Linked DNA regions of Stegostoma tigrinum. The main gene of each other region encodes a partner of the protein of the gene in region 2 in a complex. Links are inferred from orthologs where the notes say so. Each region holds a gene or a part of one and is shown on either strand. Other genes may lie near its edges. The genes, in order: pold3, pold2 and rev3l.

Region 1 (9,805 bases), on a different chromosome or scaffold from region 2:
TCCTCTCATCATGAAGGATAGCATTCCATTAGCCTTCTCGATTATGTGCTGTACCTGAAAACTTTGTGTAACTCCTAAGTCAGAACATCTATTTCCTTCTTTCAAACTGGCCAATGAGCAAAGGGCAGAATTGCCCAACGGGTTTCTCACCTCAAAATAGAACTATTTAGTTTCTCTGTTCTCCCGAGGGGGAGTTGATGTTTCTCATTTCAACACACGCAATTTGAGCACTGTGCCTGGTGCAGAAGGATCACAGTATCACAAAAGACAGATGCTGTTGTCTCCAAGAAACAATTGGTCAAAGCCTTGAGGGGCTTGCAGATGTGGATAACTGGGTTAAGTGTAGGTGTCTACTCTTACCTTCCAGCTGATCTTCTCTCACCACTGCTACCTTGTGACACTGGAATAAAGCAATATTGGAGTTAGTGGGTGATCAGCCAGCCAGTTAAACTCTCTATCCAAGGATAGACTACCAGGCCACATCTCAGCATCTCAAGCCCATACAACCAATTCTGCTTAAGAAAGCCTTTGTGATGATGTGATGCCAGTTGTAATCTTTGTCAGTGCTTATGTTGGAGGGTGCTGTTGTAACAGAGATCAGGAAGCAAGTCTCTCCCCAGCAAGCAGCATTGAGCCCAACTGTAGCAATCAAGTATGTCCTGGGTGAGATCAGCTAATTCAGTACAGATCAAGGCTGGAACCTGAGATTCTCTTACTGTATGTGACTGAGCGGCACACCAGAGATACATGCATCCCCGAAGCAAGCATGGGACCATATTTTAAAGAATGAGTAGAGTAATTAGGCTGATAAAGCTATAGATTATCATAAAAGGGGCTGAATAATTAGTTTAGTAATGAGAGGTGACCCCATTCAAATGTACAAGATCCTATGGGATTCTGACATTGAAAACTGAGAGGATATTTCAAATTGAGGGAAGAAAGTACTAGAATCTGGCAGCATCTGCGAGAGAGGAACAGAATTAATGTTTAGCGTGCAATGACTTTTCTTCAGAACCAATACTGCCAGATCTGCAGTTTCTTCAACACTTTGTTTAATTTCAGTTCTTCAATACTTTGCTTTTATTTCAAAATAAGGAACTTCTCATTTGAGGTGGATACATGAAACATTTCTTCTCTCAAAAGATAATTCGTCTTTGGAATTCTTTACGTCAGACAACAGTGGAGGCTGGATCATTGACTATATTCAGTGGTGAGTTAGGCAAATTTCAGACCAACAAGTAGTGTTAAGGTTAAGGGAGAGTGGTGGTGGTAGTCATGGTGGGGGAAATATGAAGGGGAGACATGCAGGAAAATGATGTTAAGGTTGTAATCATATCAATTGTCATCTTATTGAACGACTAAACTGCATTGACGGATCAATACTTTCCCCTTGCTCCTACTTCTGATAATCTAACTAAAGGATACATGGAGTGAGCAGAAAAGTGGGATTAGACTGGGAGCGGTCTTAAAGGATAGATGAGGTGAATGCGATTTGTTTGCGATGAAATCCACAAACTTGGTGGGCTATTTGCCCTTAGGCATTCCACAATAGAAAAGTGAGAGGATGTGAAAAAGTGGTCCTGACAATTCCTAATGTCGACTTTTCTGATGTCACTAATTGTTCCAAATAGACATACCGATATTCCATTTTCGACTGCTTTCCCTGACACGAGATACGTCACATGGAGCTGGGCTCCAGAATTTTCTTTCCGCTTTCGCTCCACGTAGTAATAAAGCATTCTGGGAAGCAGACAGAAGAGAAAATGACACAGTTAAAGGTACAAAACCTCTTGCAACAAAGCTAAACTGGTGAACAAGATCGGTCTCACAACCAGGCAGACAAACCTTGTTTTCAAAAGCAGTTGCTAAAAGATCCATACAAACTCCTTAATGGACCCTAGCAGAATCTCTCAGCAAAAGAGGGCTACTAAAGTTAGTAACAGGAAGATAGCCATGGGCAGCCAATACGTAGCAACAATTGAAATGGCACTAAATCTTGGGCGGCCGAGGAGTTAGCCCAGCTGCTCCACTGTGCCAGGAACCCTCAGGCAACTGTCTGTGTAGATTTTGCACATTCTCCCCATATCTGCATGCATGGCCTTCCTCTGGGTGATCCAGTTTCTTCCCAGAGTCCAAAGATGTGTGGGCTAGGTAGATTAGTCACGGGAAATACAGGGTTACAGGGATGAGGCAGGGGAATTGGGTATGGGTGGGTGTGAACTTGATGGGCCAATGGTCTACTTTCACACTGTAGGGATTCTATGAAACTCAAAATATCAGCTCCAGAATTCTCAATAACATCCATTTAAACTCGAGTGCATTTAAACTCGACTTTAACATAGAAAAACATTCCGGAGCATCTCACAACTATTAAATCTAAAACTTGGCACTCAGCCATGAAAGGAGACACAGATGAACAGAGACTTGGTAAACAGGGAGGTCATGTGGAATAGAAACTGAAAGTGCTGGAAAACCTCAGCGGGTCTTGAAGCATCAAGACAGGCTGGGATTATATTTACTGGCATTTTCTCACAGAAATCTATAAAATTATAAGCGGATTGGACTGGGAAAATGCTGGGAACTGGGAAGGATTTCCCAATGAGGAAAATGTCCAAAACCAGCAGTGGCAATCTAAGGATATGGGGACTGAGTTGAGGAGAAACTTCTACACCCAGAGATTGGTGAGTCTGTGGAATTCTCTGACACGGAAGTCAGTTGAGGCCAAAACATTAAATGCTTTCAAGAACGAAATTAGATATAGTTCTCAGGACTAAAGGGATCAAAGGGTACACAGGCAAAGTAGGAACAGCGTACTAAAACAGATGGTCAGCAATGATTATACCTAGTAGCCAAATAGCCTATGCCTGCTCTTATAATATTATCTTACCTTCTATTATACAAGACCACAATATAAATGCAAGCTTTTTCTTACAAATGATATTCAAATATTAGAAAATTTAACGTCAGATTTTACAAGTGTGACACACATCCTTCAAACTGTGACACATATGTCCACAACATGCATACCATTCCAATTTATGTCAGATGAAAAGAAAGAACTACGGTTGACCTATTATCTGATCTGTTCCTACCTGAGGCTATCAAGACCTATTGCAACATGTTTTACAACAATAAGGATGCCAGATAGCAAAATGCTAATGAAGCACACACAACTGTTATACCCACAATCTCTTCACATTTGGCCCATTCCCTCCACTCCTCACCGCAGATGTGGGTGACACAGGGATCCCTCTCCAGGAAATCTGACTGTGAGAAGTGGTTCTGTTGCATACTATTTGATGGTGGAATGTGACGCAAGGTGTCTCACAAATCATTGAACTTACTGTTTTGCCTGGTTGACATGAATGCCCAGGAACTGGCTCAGCATCTTGTAGGTGACCTGAAAAACAAAATCCAACTAGAAAAACAGGTACAGCAGCAAGACAAGAAATTACATTTCAAATGGGGTGTATATCCATTCCGTACCAAGGACATATGTTCCTATTACTCCAACATATTTCCCTGCAACTGCTCTCTTTAGTATATATTCAACCCCACATTGGGGGAATATCCCCCATCTGCGGTGTATATTCCCCGCCGCACCAACACCATTCCCCCCATGTATTCCCTCACACTTCCAACCCCCAATCCTGGGCATACATTCTCCCATTCATGTACCCACCCACCCCGGGTATATATATTCCCCCTTACACGCCCCCCCCGGCATCCCGGACGCGCGCGCGCGCACACATATTCCGGGTGTGTATTCGGACCCCGTCCCTCTCTCCCGGGTGTATAATCCCTCACACCCTGCCCCCGCTCACGATCCGGTTCTCATCCGCCACCAGCTCCTCGATATTCTCCAACAGCAGCTCAAGCTCCTCCATCATCGCGGCCGAAGCGGGAAAGCGAGGAGGGGTGAGAGGTCACGGGGCGGGGTCTACGGCGGGCGGAGCCTGCGCGTGCGGGGCGGTGGAAACCTCGGGGTCAAGGGTCATCGGCTGGCAGGAGCCTGTTTCCCCGGCAACCAGGCCGGTCGCCCGGACCCCTGAAAAGAAATCACCGTACAATAAAATCATTGTTTTTTTTTTACTGAAGGGCGTTTCATGGGGATTGCAAAACATGAACCAACGAGGGGGCAAATGAGTATAAAGTATTTTACTGCCGAAGGATTGCGGTGGGGTTAAAGGTTACAAAGATGGCGACGCTGCAGGTTTGAGCTGGTGACATTCATCTGAATTGGTAAGGAATGTTTGAATTTTCAAAACTCGGTTCAAGCTCAATTTATTTAAGAGCCTATGAAATTAGAATGCATTGCGGTATAAAGGATCCCCGTTTTCCGATGAAGGGTCTAGGCCCGAAACGTCAGCTTTTGTGCTCCTGAGATGCTGCTTGGCCTGCTGTGTTCATCCAGCCTCACATTTTGTTGTTGAATTTCACTATCTGCCTGAAGGTTTTGTGATGATTAGAAACCCAGTACAGAGTCTCACTGTTTATAAACTTGTAATAGTCAATGTTGGGTCACATCGATAGATGGGAGAGGTTGGGACTGTTTTCCTTGAAGCAGATCAGGTCAGAGGAGATTTGATTGAGGTGTTCGAACTGATGAGAGGTGCCGACTAACTTTCCTTTGAACACTGCCCAGAACCTCTCCCATAGATCGTCAGGCTGTTGCATGATTTCTGCTTTTGGAAGCCCCTGAAGATAACCGACCTCCGACGTCCGTGCAGAAGGAGGGGAGGAAAAGAAAATAAAAACAACTTTGGTCTGTATGGAGTAGGTAGGAGTTCCCACAGGTGAAAAGACCAAGAACACGAGTACAAAGATTTAACAGAATTGGCTATAGAAGAAACCGAGGCGTGAGGGGAAAAACGCATCCTCCCAAAGCAAGGGATTAAGATCTGGAATATACTGCCTGAAAATGTCGTGAGGATAGGTTTTAATGGTAATTGGATAATCTGAAAAAAGAAACATTTGCAGAGCTACAGGAAAAAGCAGGGTAGTAGCACTAGCCAAAATGCTTCTGAAGAGAGCTAGCATGGTATTTTGTGATCAGAGATAATGGGAACTGCAGATGTTGGAGAATCCAAGATAACAAAGCGTGAAGCTGGATGAACACAGCAGCTTGGCCTGCTGCATTCATCCAGCTTCACACTTTGTTATCTCAGAATGGTACTTTACTATGCTGTGACCATTCTTTGATTTTGAAATATCCCAAGGTGGTCCCCAAGTGGTGATGAAACAAAAAATATCAAAGAACTGTGGATGTTGGAAATTGGGCACAAAATTGCTGGAAAAAGTCAGTATGTTGGGCATCATATATGCAGAGAAAACAGGATTAATATTTCCAGTCCAGTGGCACTTTTACCCCAAGTAGCGATAAAACAAAATTTAATAAAGTCACAGAGATAGATGTATAGCAGGAAACCAATCCTTTAGTCCAACTTGTTCGTACCAATCAGACATCCTAAATTCATCTAGTCCCATTTGCTAGTATTTGGTCTGTATCCCTCTTAAACCCTTCCTATTCCTACACCCATCCAGATGCTTTTCATATGTTAGAAATCACACAATACCAGGTTATAGTTCAACAGGTTTGTTTGAAACCATAAGCTTTTGCAGCACTGCTCCTTCATCAGGGCTTTACCTGACAAAGGGGCAGCAGTCGGAAAGCTTGTAATTTCAGATAAACCTGTTGGACTATAACCTGGTGTTTTGTGATTTCTGACTTTGTCCACCCCAGTCCAACACATGCCACATCATGGTTTTTAAATGTTGCAATTGTACCAGCCTCCTCCACTTCCTCTGACAATTCATTCCATGCACTCCCCACCCTCTGTATGAAAGAAGTTGATCCTTGGGTCTGTTTTAAATCTTTCCCCTCTAACCTTAAATCTATGCCCTGGAGAAAAGACCTTGACTATTCACCTTGTCCGTGGTCGTTCTGACCTTCTATCTGGTCACCCATCAGCCTTTGCCAGGGAAAATATCCCTAGCCAATTGAACCTTTCGATAAAGCTCAAATCCTCAAATGTAGCAACATGCTTGTAAATCTTTTCTGAACCCTTTCAAGTTTCACAACATCTTTCTGATAGGAAGAACAGAATATGACCTCCCAACTCCAAAATTTAATGTGCTAACCAACAAGGGAGACTTGGGCCAGGTGACACAATGGCATTGATGTGATTTTCCTGAGGTTCATACTGAGTCCCCTTAGGTTGTATGTCCAATGTAATGTGTTTGGGTCATGAATTGCTCCTCCACTTAAGTAACAATGTTCGATGGAGAGTGCAGGAGGGCTCCAAGCAGCATCACTGAGCAAATCTTAAAATGAGGTGAAAACCTGATGAAGCTATAACGCAGGACTATTTGTGTGCCAAATGACAAGTATTAGGCAGCACTAGGATTACACAACTAACCGATCAGAACTAAGGGTCTGAAGACTCTGGATTCGGGCATCAGCAGTCCTTATTGTCTCCAGGTCAGAACTAAACTTTGCAATCCTGCCAAATCCAGTTGTGAACAGTAATGGTCAGTAAGTGAATCATTGGAGGAAAAGGCTTCAGAAATATCCCATCATCAAGGATGAGGAGCCTAGCACATCATTTCAAAAGACAAGGCTGAAATATTTGCATCCATCTTCAATCCAAAGGGCTGAATAGATGATCCATCTCAGCCTGTGAAGGTTCCCTATTTTCAATCAATTTGATTCACTTCACTTCATGATTTTAAGAAACAGTTGAAGTTAATGGATAGTGCAAAGTCAATGGGTCCTGGCAACGTTCCAGCAAAGGTCATGAACAGTTGTGCTCCAAAATTTGAAAAGCTACAAATTTACTGAGCCAAGTGTTCTATTGTAGCCACAACATTGGCGTCTACCCAAAAATGTGGCAGATTTTCTAGGAGTGCAGGTTACTATTCCATGAAAATTGAGTTGCAGTTAGATAGATGGGGTAATGAATGTATTTGGTATGCTTACATTTATTGGTCGATGCACTGAGTATAGGAGTTGGAAGATCATGTTGCAGACATACAGGATGTTGGTAAGGCCACTATTGGAATGCTACATGCAATTCTGTTCTCCCTGCTTTAGGAAGAATGTTGTGAAACTTGAAAGGGTTCAGAAAAGATTTACAAGGATGCTGCCAGGGTTGGACGGCTTGAGCTATAGGGTAGGGCTGAATAGACTGGGGCTGCTTTGCCTGGAGCGTCGCAAGCTGAGAGATAACCTTATGGAGGTTTATAAAATTGAGGGGCATGGATAGGATAAATAGACAAGGCCTTTAACCTGGAGTGGGGAAGCCAAAACTAGAAGGCATATGTTTAAGTGAGAGGGGAAAGATTTAAAAGGACTTAAGGGGCAACTTTTTCACAGTGCATGTTTGGAATGATCTGGCAAAGAAAGTGGTGGAGGCTGGTACAGTTACAACATTGAAAAAGCATCTGGAAGGGTTGAGAGGGACATAGACCAAATGCTGGCAAATAGGACTAGATTTATTTAGGATATCTAGTCAGCATAGATGAGTTGGACCATTGGGTTTCTGTGCTATACAACTCGATGACTAACTCTATGAATCTGAAGTATTTTCTGTGCACCAAAAAACAGTACAAATGTATAAGACCGTAAGATATAGGAGTGGAAGTAAGGCCATTCGGCCCATCAAATCCACTCTGCCATTTAAATCATGGCTGATGGGCATTTCAATGGAACGGAAACAACTTCCTAACGTCCACCCCTTCTAAGCCATACATTATCTTGTAAGTTTCTATTAGATCTTCCCTCAACCTTCTAAACTCTAATGAGTACAATCCCAGGATCCTTAGCCGTTCATCATACGCTAAACCTACCATTCCAGGGATCATCCGTGTGAATCTCTGCTGGACACACTCCAGGGCTAGTATGTCCTTCCTGAGGTGTGGGGCCCAAAATTGGACACAGTATTCTAAATGGGGCCTAACTAGAGCTTTATCAAGCCTCAGAAGCCCATCGCTGCTTTTATATTCCAACCCTCTTGAGATAAACGACAACATTACATTCGCTTTCTTAATTACGGACTCTACCTGCAAGTTAACCTTTAGAGAATCCTGGACCAACACTCCCAGATCCCTTTGTACTTTTGCTTTACGAATTTTCTCACCATTTAGAAAATAGTCCATGCCTGTATTCTTTTTTCCAAAATGCAAAACCTCACATTTACTCACATTGAATTTCATCAGCCATTTCCTGGACCACGTTCCTAAACTGTCTAAATCTTTCTGCAGCTTCCCCACCTCCTCAGTACTTGGCTAATTCCCACCCCATCAGTCTGCTCACAATCATCAACAAAGTGATGGAACAGTATCATTTGTTACCACAAACAAGGTCATTCTTGCAGAACCAAGGTCACTATCTTCCTGATAATAAAATGTGAGGCTGGATGAACACAGCAGGCCAAGCAGCATCTCAGGAGCACAAAAGCTGACGTTTCAGGCCTAGATCCTTCATCAGAGAGGGGGATGGGGTGAGGGGTCTGGAATAAATAGGGAGAGAGGGGAAGGCGGACTGATGATGGAGACAAAAGAAGATAGGTAGAGAGGAGAGTATAGGTGGGGAGGTAGGGAGGGGATAGGTCAGTCCAGGGAAGACGGACAGGTCAAGGAGGTGGGATGAGGTTAGTAGGTAGGAGACGGAGGTGTGGCTTGGGGTGGGAGGAAGGGATGGGTGAGAGGAAGAACAGGTTAGGGAGGCAGAGACAGGCTGGGCTGGTTTTGGGATGCAGTGGGGGGAGGGGACGAACTGGGCTGGTTTTGGGATGTGGTGGGGGACGGGGAGATTTTGAAGCATGTTTGTTAGTGAGCAAAGGGACTTGGGAGTCCTAGCTCAGAAATATTTTGCAGTCAGGAAGGCAAATGCCATGTTAGCATTCATTTCAAGAGGGCTAGAATAAAGAGCAGAGACGATCTGCTGAGGCTGTATAAGATTGTGATTGGACCGCAGTTGGAAAATTGTGAGCTGTTTTGTCCCTGTATGTGAGGAACGATGTGTTAGTGTTGGAGGGGATCCAGAGAAGGTTTTTATAAGAAAATTACAGCACAGTACAGGCCCTTCGGCCCTCAATGTTGTGCCGACCTGTCATACTGATCTCAAGCCCATCTAACGTACACTATTCCAAGTACGTCCATATGCTTGTCCAATGATGGCTTAAATGTACTTCAAGTTGGCAAATCTACTACCGTTGCCGGCAAAGTGTTCCATTCCCTTACTACTCTGAGGAAAGAAACTACCTCTGACATCTGTCCTATATCTTTCACCTCTCAATTTAAAGCTATGCCCCCTCGTGCTTGCTGTCACCATCCTAGGAAAAAGGCTCTCCCTATCCACCCTATCTAACCCTCTGATTATTTTATATGTTTCAATTAAGTCACCTCTCAACCTTCTTCTCTCTAATGAAAACAGCCTGAAGTCCCCCAGCCTTTCCTCGTAAGACCTTCCCTCCATACCAGGCAACATCCTAGTAAATCTCCTCTGCACCCTTTCCAAAGCTTCCACATCCTCCTTATAATGCGGTGACCAGAACTGTACACGATACTCCAAGTGCGGCCGCACCAGAATTTTGTACGGCTGCAGCATAAGCTCTTGGTTCCGGAACTTGATCCCTTTATTAATAAAAGCTAAAACACTGTATGCCTTCTTAACAGCCCTGTCAACCTGGGTGGCAACTTTCGAGGATCTGTGTACATGGACACTGAGATCACTCTGCTCATCTACACTGCCAAGAATCTTACCATTAGCCCTGTACTTTGCCTTCCGGTTACTCCTACCAAA
Region 2 (10,284 bases):
AAAACAGTCTGTTCCAAGCCAATAAAGTGAACATGTGGAGCCTTGGTTTTTTCCCCCCCCAAAGTGGAAGAATAGGAGCACAAATAGATAAAGTCAGGCTCCCACAAAACCAGGGTTTGAATTTCACTTTCAGTAGTTGTTCGAGTTTTGATGCTGCCATACATTACTCCCTGCTGCAGCAAAACACTTCAGTTTTCTCTCTCTCTCTCTAACAGAATTTTCCTCAGATGTTCTTTCTTCCTGAACTGGAGAAACACTGATTGTGAGAAAATCCAAGGAAGCATTTATGGGATATTATTATACTCCAAAGAATTGCTGCTTAGTAGCTAAATAATCTTTAATTCTGTTAGTTTTTCTAAAAAAGTTACTTGTATCAGTTAAAATACAAACAAAAGGAAGAAGAATTAAGTATAAGAAAAAGTGTATTTTGCTTCAAGCCAATTGGTGTACCATCCAGAGTCACAGTTCTACAGCACAGAAACAAACTCTTCAGTTCAATTCGCCCATGTGAACAAGATATCCTAAACTGGTCCAGTCTCATTTGCCCTATATCCCTCGAAACCTTTGCTATTCAGGTACTCATCCAAATGACTTTTAAATGTTGCAACGGCACCTGCTGCCACCGATACCTCTGGCAGCTCATTCCAGACAAATACCACCCTCTGCATGAAAAAGTTACCCTTAAAAAGGTCCTTTTAAAATCTTTTCCCTCTCACCTTCAACCTGCACCCATTAGTTTTGGATTCTCCTAACCTGGGAAAAAGACTTGTCGATTTACCTTATCCAAGGCCCTCAAGATTTTACAAACCTGTCAGGTCACCATACAGCCTCCAACACTCCAGGGAAAATAGCCTCTACTTGTTCAGTCTCTCCCTATAGATCAAACACTTCAATTCAGTCAACATCCTTGTAAAACTTTGCTGAAACGTTTCAAGTTTCGCATGTTTCCTTTAGCAGGGAGACCAGAATGGAATGTAGTATACCAAAGGTGGCCTAACCAATGTCCTGTACAGCTTGTGACATGACTTCCCAACTCCTGTACTCAATACACTGACCAATGAAGGCAAGTGTGTCAAATGCATTCTTCAGAACCCCGTCTATCTGCAACTCCATTTTCAAGGAACTATGCACCTGCATTCCTCAGTACTTCTGTTTGACAACACTCCCCAGGGACCTACCATTAACTGTCGAAGTCCTGATCGGTTTGCCTTACCAAAATGCAACATCTCATATTTACCTCAATTAAACTGCATCAGCCACCCCTCGGCTCATTGGCCCACCTGACCAAAGCCGCGTTGTAATGTGAGATCATCTTCTGCACGATCTTTTTTGTAATGTGCAAACTTAATCATCATTCCTCTAATAGTCACACCTAAATCATTTAGAAAAATGATGAAAAGCAGTGGACCCAGCACCAGTCTTGCAGCACACCACTTGTCACAGGCCTCCAGTCTGAAAAACAACCTTCCACCACCATGACCCTGTCTTGTACCTTCAAGCCAATTTTGTACCCTATTAGCTAACTCCCCTTGGATTCCATGTCATATAACCTTACTAACGACCTCACGGAACCCTGTTGAACGCCTTGCTGCCATCCAAATAGACAACGTCTACTGCTCCACCTTCAATCTTCTTTGTTACTTATTCAAATAAAAAACTCGAGAAAGCCAGTTGACTCTCCCTAATCAGTCCTTTCCTTTCCAAACGCATACAGTCCCAGCCCTCACAAGCCCTTCCAACAAGTTATTCACCACTCATATCAGATTCACCAGTCTATAGTTCCCTCACTTTTCCTTACCACTTCTGAAATAATGGTACCACGTTCGCCAACCTCCAGTCTTTGGAACCTCATCTGTAGCTTTCCGTAATACAAATATCTCAGCAGGGGGCCCAGCAATCATTTCCCAATTTTCCACAAAGCGCTGGGATACACCTCATCAGCCCCTGGGGTTTCTCCACTTTTATTCATTTCAAGATGTCCAGCACCCCCTCTTGTTATACAGGCACATTTCAAAATATCACTATTCCAAGTTATCAAGCTTCCATACCCTTCTCTATAGTAATCAATGACATGAAGTACTTGTTTTGTTTCTCGTCCATCTACTGTGGCTCCACACACAGATGGCCATAAAATTACATCTGGAATACAACATCTTACAATCGCCTTTAAATCAGAAAAAGTCAGAGTCTAGGCTATCTCTTTGATATATTTGAATGGAGTTTATTCCAGTCCATTTTATTGGTAAAACACAGAGCAGCGTATTTGTCCCTCATTTTCTCAAGATGAGTACTCCTGCTCTTGAATATAAAACTGAGGTCTGAGGGAATTTGGGGCATGAGGGAAACAGTAATGGGGAAGTTGAAAAGTCTGAAGGTCAATAAATCACCTGGAGCAGACAGTGCACTCCAGAGTTCTGAAGGAAATAGCTGAGGAGATTATAGGGGCACTGATGGTGATCTTTCAGGGATCGCCTGAGCACGGGAAGGTCCTGGAGGACTGGTGGATATACCAGTGGGGCAAAAGCAACTGAAGGATATAGGGGAAAAGCTATTGAGTCGGATGATTAGCCATGATGACAGGTTCAAAGGGCCAAACGGCTTACGTCTCTTCCTATTTTCTAACTCAAAGGACGAAGTCATAACAGGAGAGCTCCAAGCCCTAATTTGCTCCTACTGCTTCAGGAGGTCGGGCATGTTTCCGGTGCCCAAGGCCAGGATGAGTGCAGAAAGCGTTTCGATCAGTTGCTCCAGGAGGCCCCAGTTTCGGAACAGAGTGGCATGTGGAAACACGAACAGTGAAGTTCAGACTATTATGGACACCATGTACAAAGAGGTGGGCACACAGCAGGCTGAGATTCCACAAGCAGAAGAAAATGGATAACCACCAGACCACTTAAACTGACTAAGCAGAGTGCAAGAACCCCTGGAGCTCTTCCCCTGGAAAACAAACATACTGTGAAAAGTGGACATGAGAAAGGTCAGATCAGCCAAGGTGCCACTGAGTGGTCAACACACTGAAGGGGCTGAGCAATGTTACCCACAACTTTGGTTGGGTTCTTATTTCTTGCAGGTCATTAGTTGTTAAACAATTAAGTACACAAGTGCAGACCAAAGTTTAGTCGAGACCACTACTAGGTCAGCCATCATCTGAATGAATGACACACCACTCCAAACAAGTGCAATGGAATAACGATGCATCAGATTCCTGTACACTCTTAAAGGACCAATAGGGTGACACTTTTGCCAGAGTCCAGACCCTGACAATCAGCCCAGTGGGAGTTAGAGGTACACAAATTCTGTTTTGCTGAATTCTAATCTAGGATCCTTCGCCATGCAAAGAAATAAAGACATGGTTTGATGCTGATTAAAAATTTGAAGACATCAGTTTCTCTGGTCTTATCCTGACAGCTAAATAAAAGGGTGCTCAGCAGAGGTTAAGGTCGACAGTGCGTCCTCAAGAAGTTCAAAAGGAGATGGGTCCCAGGTTCGGCCTCCTACCTCCTCACTGATTTCCCGCAGAATAGATGGTTTCAACTCCATGTGCTTGAAGAGGGTGCCAACCGCACAACACTTCTCGCCCACCTGCAGCTCACACAGCTTCTTCACCGGCAGATCGGCTCCTGCGAAACACAACAGAATCAGTAACAAAAGCAGCAGTTGCTGGAAAAGCCAAGCAGATCCGGCAGCATGTGTGAACAGAAAATCAAGAGTTAACGGTGACCGTGGAGCCGCTTTGGAAAGCAGCAGATTCAACCCTGCAATAACATTAAGGCACGATACAGACGGAGTATTTCACTGCGGTTCAGGCGAACGCTGTTCCCTATTTACAACCCACCCGGGGCGGGGTTGTGTGTGTGTGTGTGTGTGTGTGTGAGAGAGAGGAGCACTCACCCCATTTCCTTCTGGCTCTCTCCTCCACCATCGGACGCATCTGCAGCAACCGAACGGCGTAGATGTGCGCGTACTGGCACTGGAAAGAGCGCTCTCCCAGCCTGAAGCTGCCGGAACGGTTCTCGTACGAGCCGGCCGTGACCCGGGGGAAAGTCGGGCCCGGCTGGGCCGGAAGCGGGGCCGACAACAGAGTCGGCTCCCTCAGGGCCGCCCGCTCAGAAAACATAGCGTGGATGAGTGGCTAGCAGGGAAGAAGAAATACGCCCCCACTCTCCCTTTCTGAGCCTTGGCAGACCCACCGGCGCCGTGAATTTTGTTGGACTTCTCTTCGATCCCCGCCGTTGTTTCGGCTCCTCGGGTTTAGCGCGGGGACGGTTTTCCGTTGGGAGATTCCCGCCAAGCGGCGCGCACGCGTGGGACTACCAACACGTAACGATCTGTCACCGCGCGCGGGGCGACGACAACAACGCAGACGCCATCTTATTGCGGGGCTTTTTTTTTTCAAAACCGCCATCTTACTGAGGGGCGATTTCATGTTTCGAAGGCGGCTGTTCCGCCTCCGTTTTTCACCCAAGGCCTGAAGATCGTTCTCCGTGTTCTCTCTCCGAACGATTCCGCTCACGCGGCTCGATTTTAAATTTTACGTCCGTTTTTTCGGGTACTCCCTCCCCGATTGTGCCATCTTAGACAGATCTCCAAGGAAATAGGTTTCGGACACGTTCCCAGTGCTCCTCCAGCACGAGCCCCGCCCAAACTTTTCTGGCACCATATTCTCTCTGACTGGCATCAGACCAACTTTTCGATCCAACTCTCGCCTGACGTATTCAGTGTAACATTTGAGATAACAAGGTGTACAGCTGGATTAACACAGCAGGCCAAGCAGCATCAGAGGAGCAGGAAAGATGATGTTTCGGGCCGAGACCCTTCTTCATCAAGTGTCTAGGCCCGAAATGTCAGCTTTCCTGCTCCTCTGATGCTGCTTGGCCTGCTGTGTTCATCCAGCTCTACAGCTTGTGTACTCTCTGGAGGCAGTCCACTGTCGTGGTTGGAACGGCAACAGGACTTCTCATCCCTGGATGTAGTGCAAGGCGTTTGTAATGTAATTTTAAAAATAAATTAGACAATTTTTAAGATGGAACAAGAACTGCTCCCCATTCCTACCGCAACAAGGAAATTAGTTCTGGCTCTTTGTGGATTGTGGCACACAGCTGCCACATTTAAAGTCTCCTGAGATGTAAATCTTCAATCAGCAATGACCAACAGCACTGTCAAATTGTCTTATAACCAGGATTTGCACCTCACAGTTGGACACTGCATGTATTTCACATGCATGACACAAAGATTACTGATGACTTTGGTGTGGACTATGAATTCAGCTTGATTCATGTAATTGCTCCTTGAAAGGCCTCCTTTCACTCACAGGTTGAGCCCACATGCTCAGAAAGAAAATAAGACACTTTGCCCACTCCTAGGATAGTTGCAGCTGTTTTCGATTTTCCTATGTGCATGGGAATGGAAGTCAACACAGGTCATGCTTGAGTCAGAGGCTCAGCCTGGCTGTTAAGGGTCCTCCCAACGAAGCAGTGTGCCTTTCTTTCGAGCATTCCCTATTGACTTCAGTACCAAGCTTCCAAATGTTCCCACACACCACTCTGAATGATGCATTCCTATCAACATGACCACTGATTCCTGGCCCAACAGCATAGTCGTGCCAAACATCATGCTGCACTGTACAGCTTTTCAACAGATGCAAACCGGAAGACAATTCTGTGATGATGCAACTTCAACCTCATGCTGAGGCAAGGGGAGTAAATTGACTGGGATTCAGGGGTGAATTTCAGTCCGGCCAGAAGTTGTCAAAGTGACCGACAGTTGATCTATTGGCTGGGAAGAAGTGAGACAGAACCTCGCATGTACATGAGATCTTGAAAAGACACAATTGGGTGTTATTCAAACAGATATTTCACTGAACATGACAGGCCATCATGGTGACACCCATCAATGTTCCATTGCTCCTGAAGTAATCCATGTCCTTAAACATTCCTCCTCATTAGATGTTGAGTTTCCCTCTCCCTTCACAGTTATTTTCCCTTCTTTTACTTTGAATTGCCAGAATTAAATACATCAGTTTCCCTCCAACATAAGTAGCCCCTGGTTAAATACACCCTTCACTTTGGGTGGACAGACCCCAGACTGACTATGACCACAGGAAATGAAGAATTCAAGTGCCAGACCACCCCCCCCCCCCACACACACACACCCTAACCCCTTCCCTCTCTCTCTCTCTCACACACACACACCCTAACCCCTTCCCTCTCTCTCTCTCTCTCTCTCTCTCACACACACACACACACACACACTCAAAATGACAACATTAACTTTATCAAAGACACTGAGTCAATTGATTTATTGTTGAATCTTTCCATAGAATCGCAGTGACACTACATATTTTAAAATGAAAATGGAGAAACAGCCTGAGGAGCCCAAAAGTGCAAACTTATTGCGAGTTGTTACCGAGGCAAGTTTGCCTGAGTATGATCAAGCTATTGGAAGAGAAGTAGATTTGCTTGGCCAATGATAGAGGGTGTTTATTCAGTCAGTCACTGAGTCACGTGGTACAGGAAGATCCCAGCTTTGCTACAGTCTGTGCCGAATACCATTCAATGTGCAAGGTTCTGGAGGGAAATGTCAGACTGGTTCCTGTCTCATTATTACAGCATGTCTCCCACTGAAGTGCGCATATGTGTGTAGCCAGGCTCGCCCCTCATATCCAGTCAGCATCCACAATCTCAGTAATCATGGTCAAAAACCCATAATCATTGAACCATAGGAGTGAGAAGCCAACAATTACACAACAAGAGACAAACGTGTCAAAATGGCATGTAATAACCAATTTAATAATGGCTGTGAGCTAGTACAAGAGTGAGCTTCACGATCTGATATGAGTAGTTGTGCTTAGCTGAACATTGAAGTATAAATTGCCTATTCTGAGTAGCCATGTTTTCTTTAGAGCTGATTCACAACGATCATTATCACTGATTTTTCACTGATGACTGCAGAAGCCAGACATCAACAACATTCAAACTAGGCCTCTTCTTTCTCATCTCCATGTGTGATGATATAACACAGTGATTTATAATCAATGTTTCCTGCAACATCAATGGGAGTCACAGCAAACATCTGTTCTACCTGTGGGGAGAAAAGGACAGGAATAGGGATTATTAAAGCAATGAGCACGCAACAGCAGGTCAGATGGCTGCCAGGGTCACACATATAGAGGAAACTAAATAATTTGTTTGGTTTTCAAATGTCTTTGCTACAATAAATTTCTTTTGATGATCATGAACAAACTACAGTTTCATAAAGTCCTAAACACTGTGCTTTCCAACGCTATTTTCCATATCCCTTTCAACTTCAGGAAATTCTTCATGCCTGACACCCCAGGCTTATTCAATTTTGGTTAGAGAAACACTAACTGAACAATTAGTCTTCACCATTTAGAGAACTAGCGATTCATAGCCCTGTTTCCTCATAATTAGATAACCACCCAGAGTCACAGAATGCTAACAGCACAGAAGGGAAATATTAGAAGCTCTTGTGGTGGAGGAGTTGTGTAACTATCTGTGAGCCAGGAGGGCCAGTTCAAGTGATAACATCTCTGACCAGGATGATTAGAAAATATCTAGACCAGGAATTAAATCTCGACTTTCTGGTCTGTGCAGCTGAGCACAATAATATTCAGAATGAGAATATTCAGTCCATTGCATTTGTGATAGCTCTCTGGATGAGCAAGTTTTACTTTGTGCCCCTCACTAGCCTCCTCTCAGAGCCTGGCACATTGTTTCATCTCGGATCACAATCTTATTGGCTTTGATTGATTGCATCTGCCTTGCTTGAATCTGCCTCCACCGTACTCTCAGGTGGTGCCTTCTGGATCCGAAACACCTGCTGCATGAAAACGTTTCTCCTCATGTCTTCATTGCTTCATTTACCAATTTGTACCCTGTGGTTCCGAATGTCTCCCCCAATGGGAACAGTTTTTCCGATCTACTCTGACAGATCCCTCGTGTTTTGTTATTCTCCCAATTACTTCTCCTCTCAACCGTCCACGTCCACTTGGGTAAGTGTCAGTCACCAGACAAAGAGGTTAATGCTGTTAAGTTGCTCAGGCAAAGAACAGAAGTAACTCAGAGTTAGTGGGACAGAGACCTTTACTCCATGAGGGAGCAATCATCTATGAGACAGCTATACTCAGTAAAAATTTGCATTCCACAAGTTGCTGCCCCACCTTGTGGGCAGTTAATTTTCCCTGGAACAATTCTTTTCCCTAAATAGTTTAGTTCCACCTCAAATACAACTGTGTGATGGGTTTGCTTCTTCCCAAAGTCTAATTGAGAATGCTTTTGAATATGAAATACCTCAAATGTTTTACATTGTTTACATTTAGACAGCAAAATCTCACCTCATCTGCACTGAATTTATCAGCTTGTGTCATCAGGAGTCTTTTAAATCTATGAAAGCAGAAAGAAAACATACCTAAAGTTAAGGAGCAAATTTTAATGGTATTGCCAAATTAGATGATAAATGGATTGAACCTAATGGTACAGAGTTATCTTCATTTAATCCATCATTAGTTCACTTGTATGAAATCTAATCAGCATTTTCTTTATTCTCCGTCAGTGATTTGAACAATGTTGCATGCAACTCAACAGCACTTTTCACATCTTCAGGATAATAGACCGTCTTGTGTGCTAGAATCTCTAAGGTCACCAATAAAGATCCTGGCTTTTCGTTTCCAAATTGTCTGAAATTAAATTGCTCAATTGGCAACTAGCAAAAGTCATGTCTTCGGATCATCCGCCCACGCCTTTAGATTACTCAAGCACTAATATAAAACTTTCTGCAGCCATACCCCAAAGCATTTTATTCTAAAGCACTGCACACACAGACTAGTGTAAATATGAAAAATACAGCATCTGTCTCTATGCGGGGTCAGTACTTCCAACTCAAGAGGTGTGAAAAAACTTGTAGAAGCAGGACATCTCAGAGCATTACTGTCAGAAAAGTAAGCAATTGGCTTAACTGATTTATGGACAAAATGTCAGTATGCAGCTCTGGTGCTAATCACATTATATTGAAAATTATGAAATTTACAGGATGAAGATGTCAGCTGAAATACTAAAAGTACATCCTCATGAAACATTTTCAGGTGCCATCTATCTCACTATTTAAATGACTTTGTAACTCACTCATCCTTCTTGACATGCCCTGTTCCTTGCGGATCAAACAGTTTGAAGGCGTTCACAATAGTTTCTTCTGGGTCAGTTCCTGTCGAGATAAAATAAGCTTCAAACCGATTGCTGTTGCTAGCACCGGCATTTGGGCTGGAATAGCTGAAATTATATGATGTGGCATTGAAAGTAGAAAGAAGGACTTGCATTTACACCCATAAGAGCATCTCAAAACACTTCACAGCCAAACATGTGTTTTTAAAACAGGGCAATAACTGTTCTGATACAGAAAATACAGCAGCCAATTTACACTCAGCAAGGTCCCACAAATTGTGTTTGAGTGATACTGGTTGGGATACAAATAACGGTGACATTGCAGGTGAGAACAACCCTGCGTTTCTTACAAGTAGTGCCATTTAGGTGCACTTGAGAGGGCACAGAGAGTTTCACTTGAACACTTGATTCAAAAGATCGCATCTCTGACAGTGAACGCTCCCAGTCCTGCATTGGAGTGCCAGCCTAGATTTTGTGCCCAACTACCTGAATGGGAATCAGATTCAACAACCTTCTGACTAGGAGCATCTTCCAAATATGGGTTCCATCTCCACTGTAGTATCAGACATGAAAGAATTTGAATTGAGATTCATCACATACCTAAATAAGATTATTGAATAATCAATTGCTGTCAGCATGCTGTCTTGTCCTTACCATTCAGTTTTTCTCCAAAGAGGCTGAGGAACACTGTAAAGTTCATTGGCCCCTTTCCCTCTTTCAACATCGCTTCCAATTCTTCATCATTGGTATTCAACTTACCTATAAATATTTTCAAACACATTAATATTCATATCATTTTCAAACAGCATTTCCATTTTTATTTGAACAAATGGCTCAGTGTCCTCTTGGAGCAAGTGGATTGGTCTGTGGGGTTAGAAACCAGGTAGCATCAGCCATGAAGTCCATGGACCAATTGCAGCACTTCTGCATCAAAACCCGTCTCTCCAGCCAGGAATATTGAATCCCTGACACCAGTCATCTCGGTAAACACTTTGAGACTGACATCACTGGTCAGGACTCCTCTGGTGCAATGATAGGGTGACTACCCATATCCCAGGAGATTTGGGTTCACGTCTTACCAGTTCCGGAGGTATGTCCCAATATCTCT
Region 3 (10,241 bases), on a different chromosome or scaffold from region 2:
TTTGGGTAATTAATTTGTTGGCCAGAACAGATACAATAGGTGAAGCATCTTTTTCTGTGCAGTAAGATTTCTCTGATTCAGTAATTCTGTACAGTGCTGCACCTATGTGCAGTTTTGGTCTCCTTTTTTGAAAGAGAAAATAAAATTGCACAGTAAGAATTGAGAAAAGGTTCACTTAACTTATTATTGGGATGAAGGGCTTATTTTATAAAGAAAGACTGAAGACATGAGAGCTGCAATTGTTTAGCAGAATTACAGGTGGCTTCAGTGAAACATATATGATGCTTGGGAGGGGGTGTAGGGCATAGGAAAGTACCAAGGAGAATGTTTCCACTTTCAGAGAGTTTAGAGCTAGAGCACATGGTTTGCGAATAAGAGGTCTGCCTCCTATTTAGGATGGAGATGAGGAGATTTTATTCTCCTTCAGAGATTTATTATAATGTGAAATGGTGCTTCTGGACACCACAGTGGCACTGGTTAGTGGTTAGTACTGCTACCTTATAGCTCCAAAGGCCTGGGTACAGATCTAACCTCGGGTTTGCACATTCTTTCAGTGTCTGCATGGGTTTCAGCTCTGGTTTCCTCCTCCAGCTCAAAGGTGTGCACACTAGGTGGATTACCCATGGTGAATGTGGGATTATGGGGTTGGGATAATCGTCGGAGGGTCAGTGATGACTTGAAAGGCTGAGTGGCCTCTTTCTACAGTGTAGGGATTCCATGAAATTCAATTCAACTTGAAAGCAGTAGAGAGATAGACAGACAGAATCAATACAGTGTGAAGCTGATGAACACAGCAGGTCAGGCAGCATCAGAGAAGCAGGAAAGTCGATGTTTCAGATTTACATCCTTCATCTGGACTGGGGGGAGGGGGAAGGGACCTGGGAAATAAATAGAGGGAGGACGGGTGAGGCTGGGGGAAGGTAGGTGGGATGGTGATAGGTGGATGCATATAACGGGTAGTAAAGAATGGTCAGTGGGATGGGTGGGGTGGATCGGTGGGAAAGAAGATGGACAGGTAATATAAGATCAAGGAGGTGGGGATGAGAGGGAGGGTTGGACATGGGGTGAGGCCAGGGTTGGGGAGATTTTAAAAGTGGTGAATTCTATGTTGACACCATTGGGATGTAGACTCCCAAGGCGGAACATGAGGTATTGCTCCTCCAGTTTGCGTGTGGCGTCATTGTGACAAAGGAGAAGGGCCAGGAAGAGCATGTCACCCAAGGAATGGGAGGGGGAGCTAAAATGGTTGGCAACCGGAAGGTGTTGTTAGAGTGCAGATGCTCCGTGAATTGGTCACCAAGCCTCCACTTGGTCTCGCTGATGTAAAGGACGCCACATTAAGAGCAACAGATACAGGCATTTGATAAGGTTCCCCACAGCAGCCTCATTCATAAAGTCAGTAGGTATGGGATACAGGGTGATTTGGCTGTCTGCATTCAGAATTGTTTGGCTGACAGCAGGCAGAGAGTGGTTGTAGATGGTAAGTATTCTGCCTGGAGGTCAGTGTTGAGTGGTGTCCCACAGGGCTCTGCTCTTGGGCCTCTACTTTTTGTAGTTTTTATAAATGACTTGGATGAGGAGGTTGAAGGGTGGGTTAGTATGTTTGCTGATGACACAAAGGTTGGAGGTGCCGTTGATAGTATCGAGGGCTATTGCAGGCTTCAGCGAGACATTGACAGAATGCAGAGCTGGGCTGAGAAATGGCAGATAGAGTTCAACCTGGATAAATGCGAAGTGATGCATTTTGGAAGGTCGAACGTAAATGCTGAATATAGGATTAAAAGCAGAATTCTTGGCAGTGTGGAGGAACAGCGGGATCTTGGTGTTCAAGTGCATAGCTCCCTCAAAGTTGCCACCCAGGTGGATAAGGTTGTTAAGAAAGCATATGGTGTTTTGGCTTTCATTAACAGGGGGATTGAGTTTAAGAGCCGCGAGGTTATGCTGCAGCTCTACAAAACCGTGGTGAGACCACACTTGGAATATTGTGTCCAGTTCTGGTCGCACTATTATAGGAAAGATGTGGAGGCTTTGGAGAGGATGCAAAGGAGGTTTGCCAGGATGCTGTCTGGATTGGAGGGCTTGTCTTACGAGGAGAGGTTGACTGAGCTCGGACTTTTCTCTCTGGAGAGAAGGAGAAAGAGAGGCGACCTGATCGAGGTGTACAAGGTAATGAGAGGCATGGATAGAGTCGATACGCAGACACTTTTCCCCAGGGCAGGATTGACTGCCATGAGGGTTCATAGTTTTAAGGTGTTAGGAGGAAGGTATAGAGGAGATGTCAGAGGGAGGTTCTTCACCCAGAGAGTTGTGAGTGCATGGAATAGTTTACCAGTGGTAGTCGTGGAAGCGGAGTCATTAGTGACATTTAAGCGACTGCTGGACATGCACATGGACAGCAGTGAATTGAGATGAGAGTAGGTTAGGTTATTTTATTTTTGGATTAGCGTTATTCCACGGCACAACATCGTGGGCCGAAGGGCCTGTACTGTGCTGTACTTTTCTATGTTCTATGTTCTATGTTCTAAACCAGGTTGGAGGATGTACAGGTGAATCCCTGCTGGAATGGGAAAGGCCTTGGACAGAGGTGAGAGGGGTGGTGTAGGGGCAGGTGTAGCACCTCCTATGGCTTCAGGGCAAGGAGCTGGCTATGGTTGGGTTGGTGGGGAGGGCAGAGCAGTCGAGGGAGTTGCGGTGAGAGCGGTCCCTATGAAAGGCAGATGGGGTGGGGAGGGAAAAATCTGTTTGGTTGTGGGATCAGATTGCAGGTGGCGGAAGTGATGGAGGATGATGCCATGCATGTAGAGTAGGGGTAGTATGTGAAGACCGAGGGTCTAGGCGCGAAATGTCAGCCTTCCTGCTCCTATGATGATGCATGGCCTGCTGTGTTCATCCAGCTCCACGCTTTGTTATCTCGGATTCTGTCCTTATTTTTGTTAGGGGGATGGGTTTTTGAGGGCAGAAATGCGAGAAATGCAAGAGATGCAGTTGTAGGCACTTTTGATCACTGGAGGGGAGAAGTTGCAGTCCTTGAAGTAGGGGAACTTTTGGGATGTCCAGGAGTGGAATGCTCCATCTTGGGAACAGATGCGCCCAGAGATGGAGGAATTGGGAGTAAGCAGGAGAGGCTGGATTATTGGATACATTCAAGGCTAGATGTAATTTCTGAAGAAGGGTCACCTGACCTGAAAACATTAACTTCGATTTCTTATCATGGATGCTGTTAGACTTGCTGAGTTTTTCCAGTAATTTCTGTTTTTGTTTCTAGATATTATGTGTGGATCCGCAGGAGATGGGTGAGATGCAAAATCAACATTTTGCATCAGTTTTACTGTGGAGAAGGATGTGGAAGCCAGAGAGCATGGGGAAATAAATAACGATATCTTCAAAAATGTCCATGTTACAAAGGACAAGGCGCTGGGCATCTGAAAATGTATAAAGGTAGGCAAATCCCTGGGACCAGATCAAATGTACCCTACAATTTTATGGGAAGTTCGGAAAGTGATTGCTGGGCTCTTGCTGAGATATTTGTATCATCAATAGCCACTGGAGAGTTGCTGGAAGACTGGAGGTTGGCTAATGTGGTGCCATTATTTAAGAAAGACAGTAAGGAAAAGACAGGGAACTACAGACCGGTGAGCCTGACATCAGTGGTGGGCAGTTTATTGGAGGGGATTCTGAGGGACAGGATTCACATGTTTTTGAAAAGGCATGGGCTGATTAGGGATGGTCAACATGGTTTTGAGTGTCGCAAATTGTATCTCACTAATTTGATTGAGTTCTTTGAAGAAGTGACGTAGAGGATTGATGAAGGCAGACCTGAGAACATTGTGTATATGGACCTCAGTAAGGCGCTTGACAATATTTTGCATGGTAGACTGGTTAATAAGGTTAGATCACATGGAATTGAGGGAGAACCAGCCATTTGGATACAACGTTGGCTTAAAGTGTGGTGGTGGAGGGATGTTTTTCGGATTGGAGGCCTGTGACCAGAGTGTGCCGCACTAATAGCTGCTAGGTCCACTGCTTTATGTCATTTGTATAAATGATTTGAGTGAAAATAGGAAGCATGGTTAGTTAATTTGCAGATGACGCCACCATTGGTAGTGTAATAGACGGCGAAGAAGGTTTCTTCAGAGTACAAGGGGACCTTGATCAGATGGGCCGAGGAGTGGCAAATGGAGTTTAATCTAGACAAATGTGAGGTGCTGTATTTTGGTAGGGCAAATCAGGGAAGGACTAATATAATCAATGGCGAGGTCCTGGGGAATGTTGTTGAACAAAGAGACCTTGGAGTGCAGATGTATAGATCCTTGAAAGTAGAGTCACAGGGAGACAGGGTAGTGAAGAAGGTATTCAGTACACTTGGTTTTAGTGGTCAGTGCATTCAGTACAGGAGTTGGGAGGTCAGGTTGCAGCTGTACAGGACATTGGTTAGGCCACTTTTGGAATACTGTATACAATTCTGAAGGATGTTGTTAAACTTGAAAGGGTTTAGAAAAGTTTGACAAGAATGTTGCCAGAGTTGGAGGGTTTGAGCTATAGGAAGAGGCTGAATAGACTGGGACTATTTTCCCTGGAGCATTGGAGGCTGTGTGATGACCTTTTAGAGGTTTATAAGATCATGAGTGGCATGGATAGAGTGAAGTCAAAACCTTTTCCCCTGGGTAGGGGAGTCCAAACTTGGAGGGCATGTGTTTAAGGTGAGAGAGTAAAGATTTATAAGGATCTAATGGGCAACTTTTTCACACCGAGAGTGGTGCACATATGGAACGAGGTGCCAGAAGAATTAGTGGAGGCTGGTTTAATTATGGCATTTAAAAAGCATCTGGATAGCTATATGAATAGGAAGAATTTAGAGGGATCTGGGCCAAATGGGAAATGCTGAAAAATTTAGGATATCGGTCAACAGGGACAAGTTGGACCAAAGGGTCTATTTCCATGTGGTACATTTCTTTTGACTCTATTTTAGATAGACTCCTTAGAGAAACCTATGAGTCATCACATCACAGGTGAAGGGCCATGTTGGGAAGGAGAGACTATCATGGTAACATCAGCTGACAGAGGTATTGAAGCCATGCATCGATGGAGATAATCAACCCTCCTGAACCTAACTCCGGATCATGCAACCACTAGTTTTTAATGGAAAGCTGGCCGTTGCCTCGAACTAAATCGCACTGCGGCGTGCTGCCCTATGCTAGCCCACATCTACATCTTGCAACGCAAAGCGACGTCGAACCCCAGTGTCAATCAACTCGCTCCCTCGAAGGGGGCGTGGAACAAACCAATCGGCGCAGGCGGAAAGGCAGTGACGCAAGTAGCAGAGCTCCAGCCAATGGTGAGGGAGGTCTCTCGGACGAGATGTCAACCGCTTGTCAGAGCCTCGGCCGCTGACCAATCAGTGTGCGAAACTGGGCGGGCGGCGGGACTGAGGCCAATGGGAGAGTGGGGATTGGGGAAGGTGGGCGTACGGGAGGCGGGATCAGGCGGAACCCCGCCCCCCTCCTTCCCGGTCTGGCGGCGGCGGTGGCAGCCGTTGCTGCAGTGCAGCTCGAGGAGAGGCCGGCGCTTGCTGTCAGGCAGAAAGAGGCGTCTCCGTAAACAGCAGTAACAACAACAACAACAACACAAGCCTGCCGTGTCAGTCACTCCGGGGTGATGCGCGGCACCGGGCAGGCGGCTGGAAGCTGTGCCCGGAGGATGAGGGAGAGAGGCCGGGGCCATGGATGCACCGTGATGGGCACAGTCAGTGCACAGGCGCGCAGCCTCCCCCTCCTCCCTCCCTGCTCCTGCTAATAAACCCACCCCCCCCCATTAAAAACCTTACAGTACGGCCTGACCCTCACCAACCCCTCCACTTACAGACTCTCTCTGCCTTTTTTTTGAAAGGGACTGGGGCATTTTCCCCCTGCTCCTTTATTTATTTTGCCCACCCCCACCAAGTATTTAGGATGTTTGCAGTGAGGATTGTCACCGCTGACTACTACATGTCCAGCCCCATCAAGGGTCTGGATGTCTGCTTTTCGGAATTCCGAGAGAGCGAGGTGACCAGAGTGCCCGTGGTTCGTATCTTCGGGCCGACACCTGCAGGTAAGCTGGCCTGTGTTGTTGTGAAAATGTTGCCCACAGCACCGCAGTAACGTCCCCACTGCGGGGCTGTTGCAGAGGGGCAGGGTGGGTGTGTTCTTGTGGGGGCGTGGGTGTGTGGTTTGGTCGTTTGGGAGCTGCCTGTGGTCTCGCTTGCCATTTTGTTTTAACCCTCCCGGGGGCTAGAACATTTGCTAACGGCCTGTCTCACTGCGTGTGCACGTACAAAATCGTATTTACATGTGAGTTTAGAATGTGCACGACCACCCACAGCACTGTCCTCTGAATGGTGTTACCCTCCCACCCTTGTGTTTCTACCCCCACCCACGCACCCCACGGTGTGGGAGACTTCATGTTGTCAGACCTAGCTGTGCTCTCGTGTTTTCGCTGGGGATTGTGCGTTTTATTTTCTTTCTCTTTATTTCGAAACTACTTAACGGTCCGAGGAAGGCGAAAATCGTTTGAATGAACTGTATCCAGCGAAGGAGGGGGGAAATATGCAGATCTTTTCATTAATTGTGAAGAGGAATCTCTCTTTTTGCCCCAGGTCACCATGCAGCTCCCTGTGTTTAGTTGAACCTTTTACGGTATCGAGAACAGAACAAGCTGCTTTTGAGTTAACTATGAAGCTCAAGGGATTATATATTTAAAAAAAAACTAGAGGGTAGCCATGGCCACCCCACCGCCAATAACACAAAAGGTGTGGTTTTTAAACAAATACATATTCTCATTATCTTCCATGTATTGAAATAATATTATTTGCATACTGTAATTGTTGACGTTAGTCGCCATGTTTACTTTAGGGTATCTTGCATATCATTTTCCTGGTCAAAGCTGTACTGCACTTGTCAAATTTGTCTGCCGTTGTAAATATGGGTCGTATATCTTCTGTTGTGGAATTGAGGCGATAATTCTTCCTGCATGTTGTGAGAATGTGTTCTGCCTTTTTAAAATCAGGACGGATTTTTTCAAGCCCTGCGGATTCTAATGAAGTGCAGTGATTCAGTTTTCTTTTAAATAGAGAAGCGCTGAAGATGGGAAGAATTCTTGACAGCTGTAGATTTTCACCTTGCTTTGATATAGGCATTTTTGCATGCTTAATGTGCAGTGGATCTGAAGAGTTTGTTTACTGCAAAATATTATCTTCAAGTTAGTCTTATAGTTTGCCTTGTTCCTTACCTGAAGTTTAATTAGAGGTAGCAATCACTGTTTCATGGTTATGATTGACTTAGTGATAAGAGGCAGAGTGTTACCTGGGTCTGATAGCGTATCATAGGATTCAGTGCTGGTTCCTTTTTCATTTTAGTGTGCACTAATGATCTAGACATTAATCTAAGAGGTTTGAATGGTACGTTTGCACATAGCACAAGTGTCAGGGTAAATAGCAAGGAGGAAAGCTTTAGTACAGGACTGTTTGGATGGGCTGGTCCTATAGGCAGAACACTGGCAAATGGAATTTAACTCTGAAGAGTGGAGATGGGGCATTTTGTGAGAACTAACAAGGGAAGGAAGTACACAATGAAAGGTAGGACACCACAAAGTACAGTGGATCAGGTGGATCTTGGTGCACATGTCCAAAGATCCTTGAAAGGAGTGCAACAGGTAAACAGATAGTAGGAACTGCAGATGCTGGAGAATCTGAGTTAACAAGGTGTGGAGCAGGATGAACACGGCAGGCCAAGCAGCATCAGAGGAGCAGGAAGGCAGATGTTTTGGGCCCAGACCCTGCTAATTTGGGCCTGTTTTTATGATTTGCTTCGCCATTTTTGATTTCATGTACTGTCAGAATGACAGTTGAGTTGGTGTTGTCTTGTGATCATATCCACTTACTGCTTACCTGTAAGATTTTCTGGCGGTAGGCAAGGGCTTGGCATTGTGCTTGTACTTTGGCAATTCCTAGTGTGGTCTGGTTGCTGTGATCTCAGCGAGGAGAGCGAATCAAAAGGTAGAAACGCTGGCCACTAGCCGGAAATAAGAGAGGGGAAAGGATGACAGATATAATTGGCAGTGAGAAAGAGTAGAGTTGGTGATGAAATCTGTCAGTGGTTAGTGCAGTGGTCCCCACCTCTCAACTTCAGGGCCTGGCCCAGGAACTGTCTGCCGTTGTGTACTGGGTCCCAGTTGGGAGGGAGTCGCTGCTAGCACTGGAGAAACCAGAATCTGTTTTGTTTTTTCTCACCTTTTGGGTTTCCAGTAAATCTCCGACCCAAAGCTGAACAGAGAAGAGTCCCCTGAGAAGAGCCGCATCACATTATCACCAACTCATTCAGAATCAACCTGTTGCACATTCAGCTATTCACTTTTGTTTTACCCCTTTTGAAGCGGAGCTTTATTATTATTTGTTAGGCTATAGTTTCCAAATTTATGGTATAGTAAGTACCACCCACTTGATATTTAAGGTATGTCGTTTTAACCCTAACCCTAACGCAGCTGTCAACTAAGTTACTAGAAATTCCCACTTTCAATCCTAACATACAAATTGCAATGTTTTCCCTTCCATTAATGTAGTATTTCTTCAGAATTTATGACATTTTTGTCAGCAAGTGAGCTAAGAATGCACCTTGTTGGTGTATCTTACTGTATTTCAACTTTGTTTTTCTCGGCCAACAGATGTCCAAAGGAAGCTAATGCTGCTTTTAATGTTGATCGCCATGTACTGACACTGGAGGGTTGTTTTCCCTTTCATTCATTCATGGGATGAGGCTGTTGCTGGCTAGGCACCATTTATTGTCCATCCCGAATTGCCCAGAGGGCAGTTCAGAATCAATCACATTGCTGTGGGCCTGGAGTCACATGATCGTCAGACCACATCTGGTAAGGATGGCAGTTTCCTTCCCTAAAGGACATTAGTGAACCAGATGGGCTTTCCTTGCAATCGAGAACGGTTTCACGATTGTCATTAGATTCTTAATTCTAGACATCGTACTTAAATCAAATTCCACCATCTGTTGTGGTGGGATTTGAACCTGGGTCCTCAATGTTATCCATGTCTCAGGATTAACAATCCAGTGATTATTACCACTAGGCCATTGCCTACCCTTTACAATGTTGACGCCAGAGTTGAGATGGTTGCCTTGGGAGTGATGAAGTAGACTGGGACTATGCTCACTGGAATTTTGAAGAATAAGGGCCATTTTCAGAAACACAAAATTATGAAGGGAATAGATGAGCTAGAAGGAGGGATGTTGTTTAGACTGGGAGGTTAAACTAGAACTCAGGGGCATAGCCTCAAAATAAGGGGGAGCAGATTTAGAATTGAGTTGAGGAGGGACTTCTCCACCTAAATGGTTGTGAATCTGTGGGATTCCCTGCCCACTGAAGCAATTGATGCTATCTTGCTGAGTGAGGCGGAATCCACAAAAAGATCTGTCATGATCTTATTGAATGGCGGAGAGGTTTAAGAGGCCAGATGGCCTACTCCTTCTCCTATTTCTTACATTCTTATGATTTAACTGAATCTGACTTCTCTATTACCAGTCTACTTGACATAATGTTCCTGTCCATGACAGTATTGGGAGGAATTTACTACTACACTGTGAACACAAAGTTGTATCTTCATACTGGAGATATCATCGGTCAGGTTGTGTGATGCTACTACCCATCAAAATGAATAGATTGAGAACAGATCTAGCAGCTCCAGTGTGGTCAACTACAAGATGCAGGGTCATCAACAGCAGAATTGTATTCAGTCTCAATCTGGAAGCTTGTGGTCTTGTGTATTCCCCACTAAACAATTGTGATTAATCCTCCTTTGATGAGCAATGCAGGAGAGCATGGCATTAGCAGCTTCAGACATAACTAAAAATGATATGCTAACATTTTAAGGCTTCAATAAAAGATTATTTTTGTGCTACACGGTGGAAGCAGCGTGCGGTAGCCTGACCTGAGTGATTCACGAACCAACAAATCAGATCAATGCTGTTGAGGTCCTGTCAAGTTGGTCATGAATGTTAGTGGACTGTTAAGAGGTTCCACAAACATACATGCACCATTGACTGGGGAGCCTGAGTATGTCCAGTGGAAGCATTTTCATCAGTAAGTGCTGTGTGGATGATCCATCTTGTCCATCTCATGAGTCCCTAGCATCACCTTGCTAGTTTTCAATGTATTTACTGTGGAACAAAAATGGCTGAAGGAACTGGATATTTCCTAACAAC

Evidence for each region.
Region 1: pold2 (region 2) and pold3 share a complex: the UniProt entries of both Homo sapiens proteins name them as parts of the both the DNA polymerase delta and DNA polymerase zeta complex. The link is inferred for Stegostoma tigrinum from reciprocal best matches to the Homo sapiens genes POLD2 and POLD3.
Region 3: pold2 (region 2) and rev3l share a complex: the UniProt entries of both Homo sapiens proteins name them as parts of the tetrameric Pol-zeta complex. The link is inferred for Stegostoma tigrinum from reciprocal best matches to the Homo sapiens genes POLD2 and REV3L.

The regions. Positions count from the first base shown.
Region 1 is NC_081359.1:111,414,416-111,424,220, forward strand, and holds the start of pold3 (DNA polymerase delta subunit 3), read right to left. Parts: upstream 3,921-9,805; 5' UTR 3,891-3,920; coding exon 3,810-3,890; intron 3,401-3,809; coding exon 3,345-3,400; intron 1,741-3,344; coding exon 1,638-1,740; intron 401-1,637; coding exon 361-400; intron 1-360. UniProt on the Homo sapiens protein: Accessory component of both the DNA polymerase delta complex and the DNA polymerase zeta complex.
Region 2 is NC_081393.1:10,601,588-10,611,871, reverse strand, and holds the start of pold2 (DNA polymerase delta subunit 2), read right to left. Parts: upstream 4,763-10,284; 5' UTR 4,118-4,762; coding exon 3,892-4,117; intron 3,621-3,891; coding exon 3,499-3,620; intron 1-3,498. Other genes in the region: myl7 (myosin regulatory light chain 2, atrial isoform), read right to left, coding at 6,976-7,080, 8,354-8,402, 9,141-9,219, 9,831-9,935. UniProt on the Homo sapiens protein: Accessory component of both the DNA polymerase delta complex and the DNA polymerase zeta complex.
Region 3 is NC_081357.1:23,897,529-23,907,769, forward strand, and holds the start of rev3l (DNA polymerase zeta catalytic subunit), read left to right. Parts: upstream 1-5,515; 5' UTR 5,516-5,723; coding exon 5,724-6,087; intron 6,088-10,241. UniProt on the Homo sapiens protein: Catalytic subunit of the DNA polymerase zeta complex, an error-prone polymerase specialized in translesion DNA synthesis (TLS). Lacks an intrinsic 3'-5' exonuclease activity and thus has no proofreading function.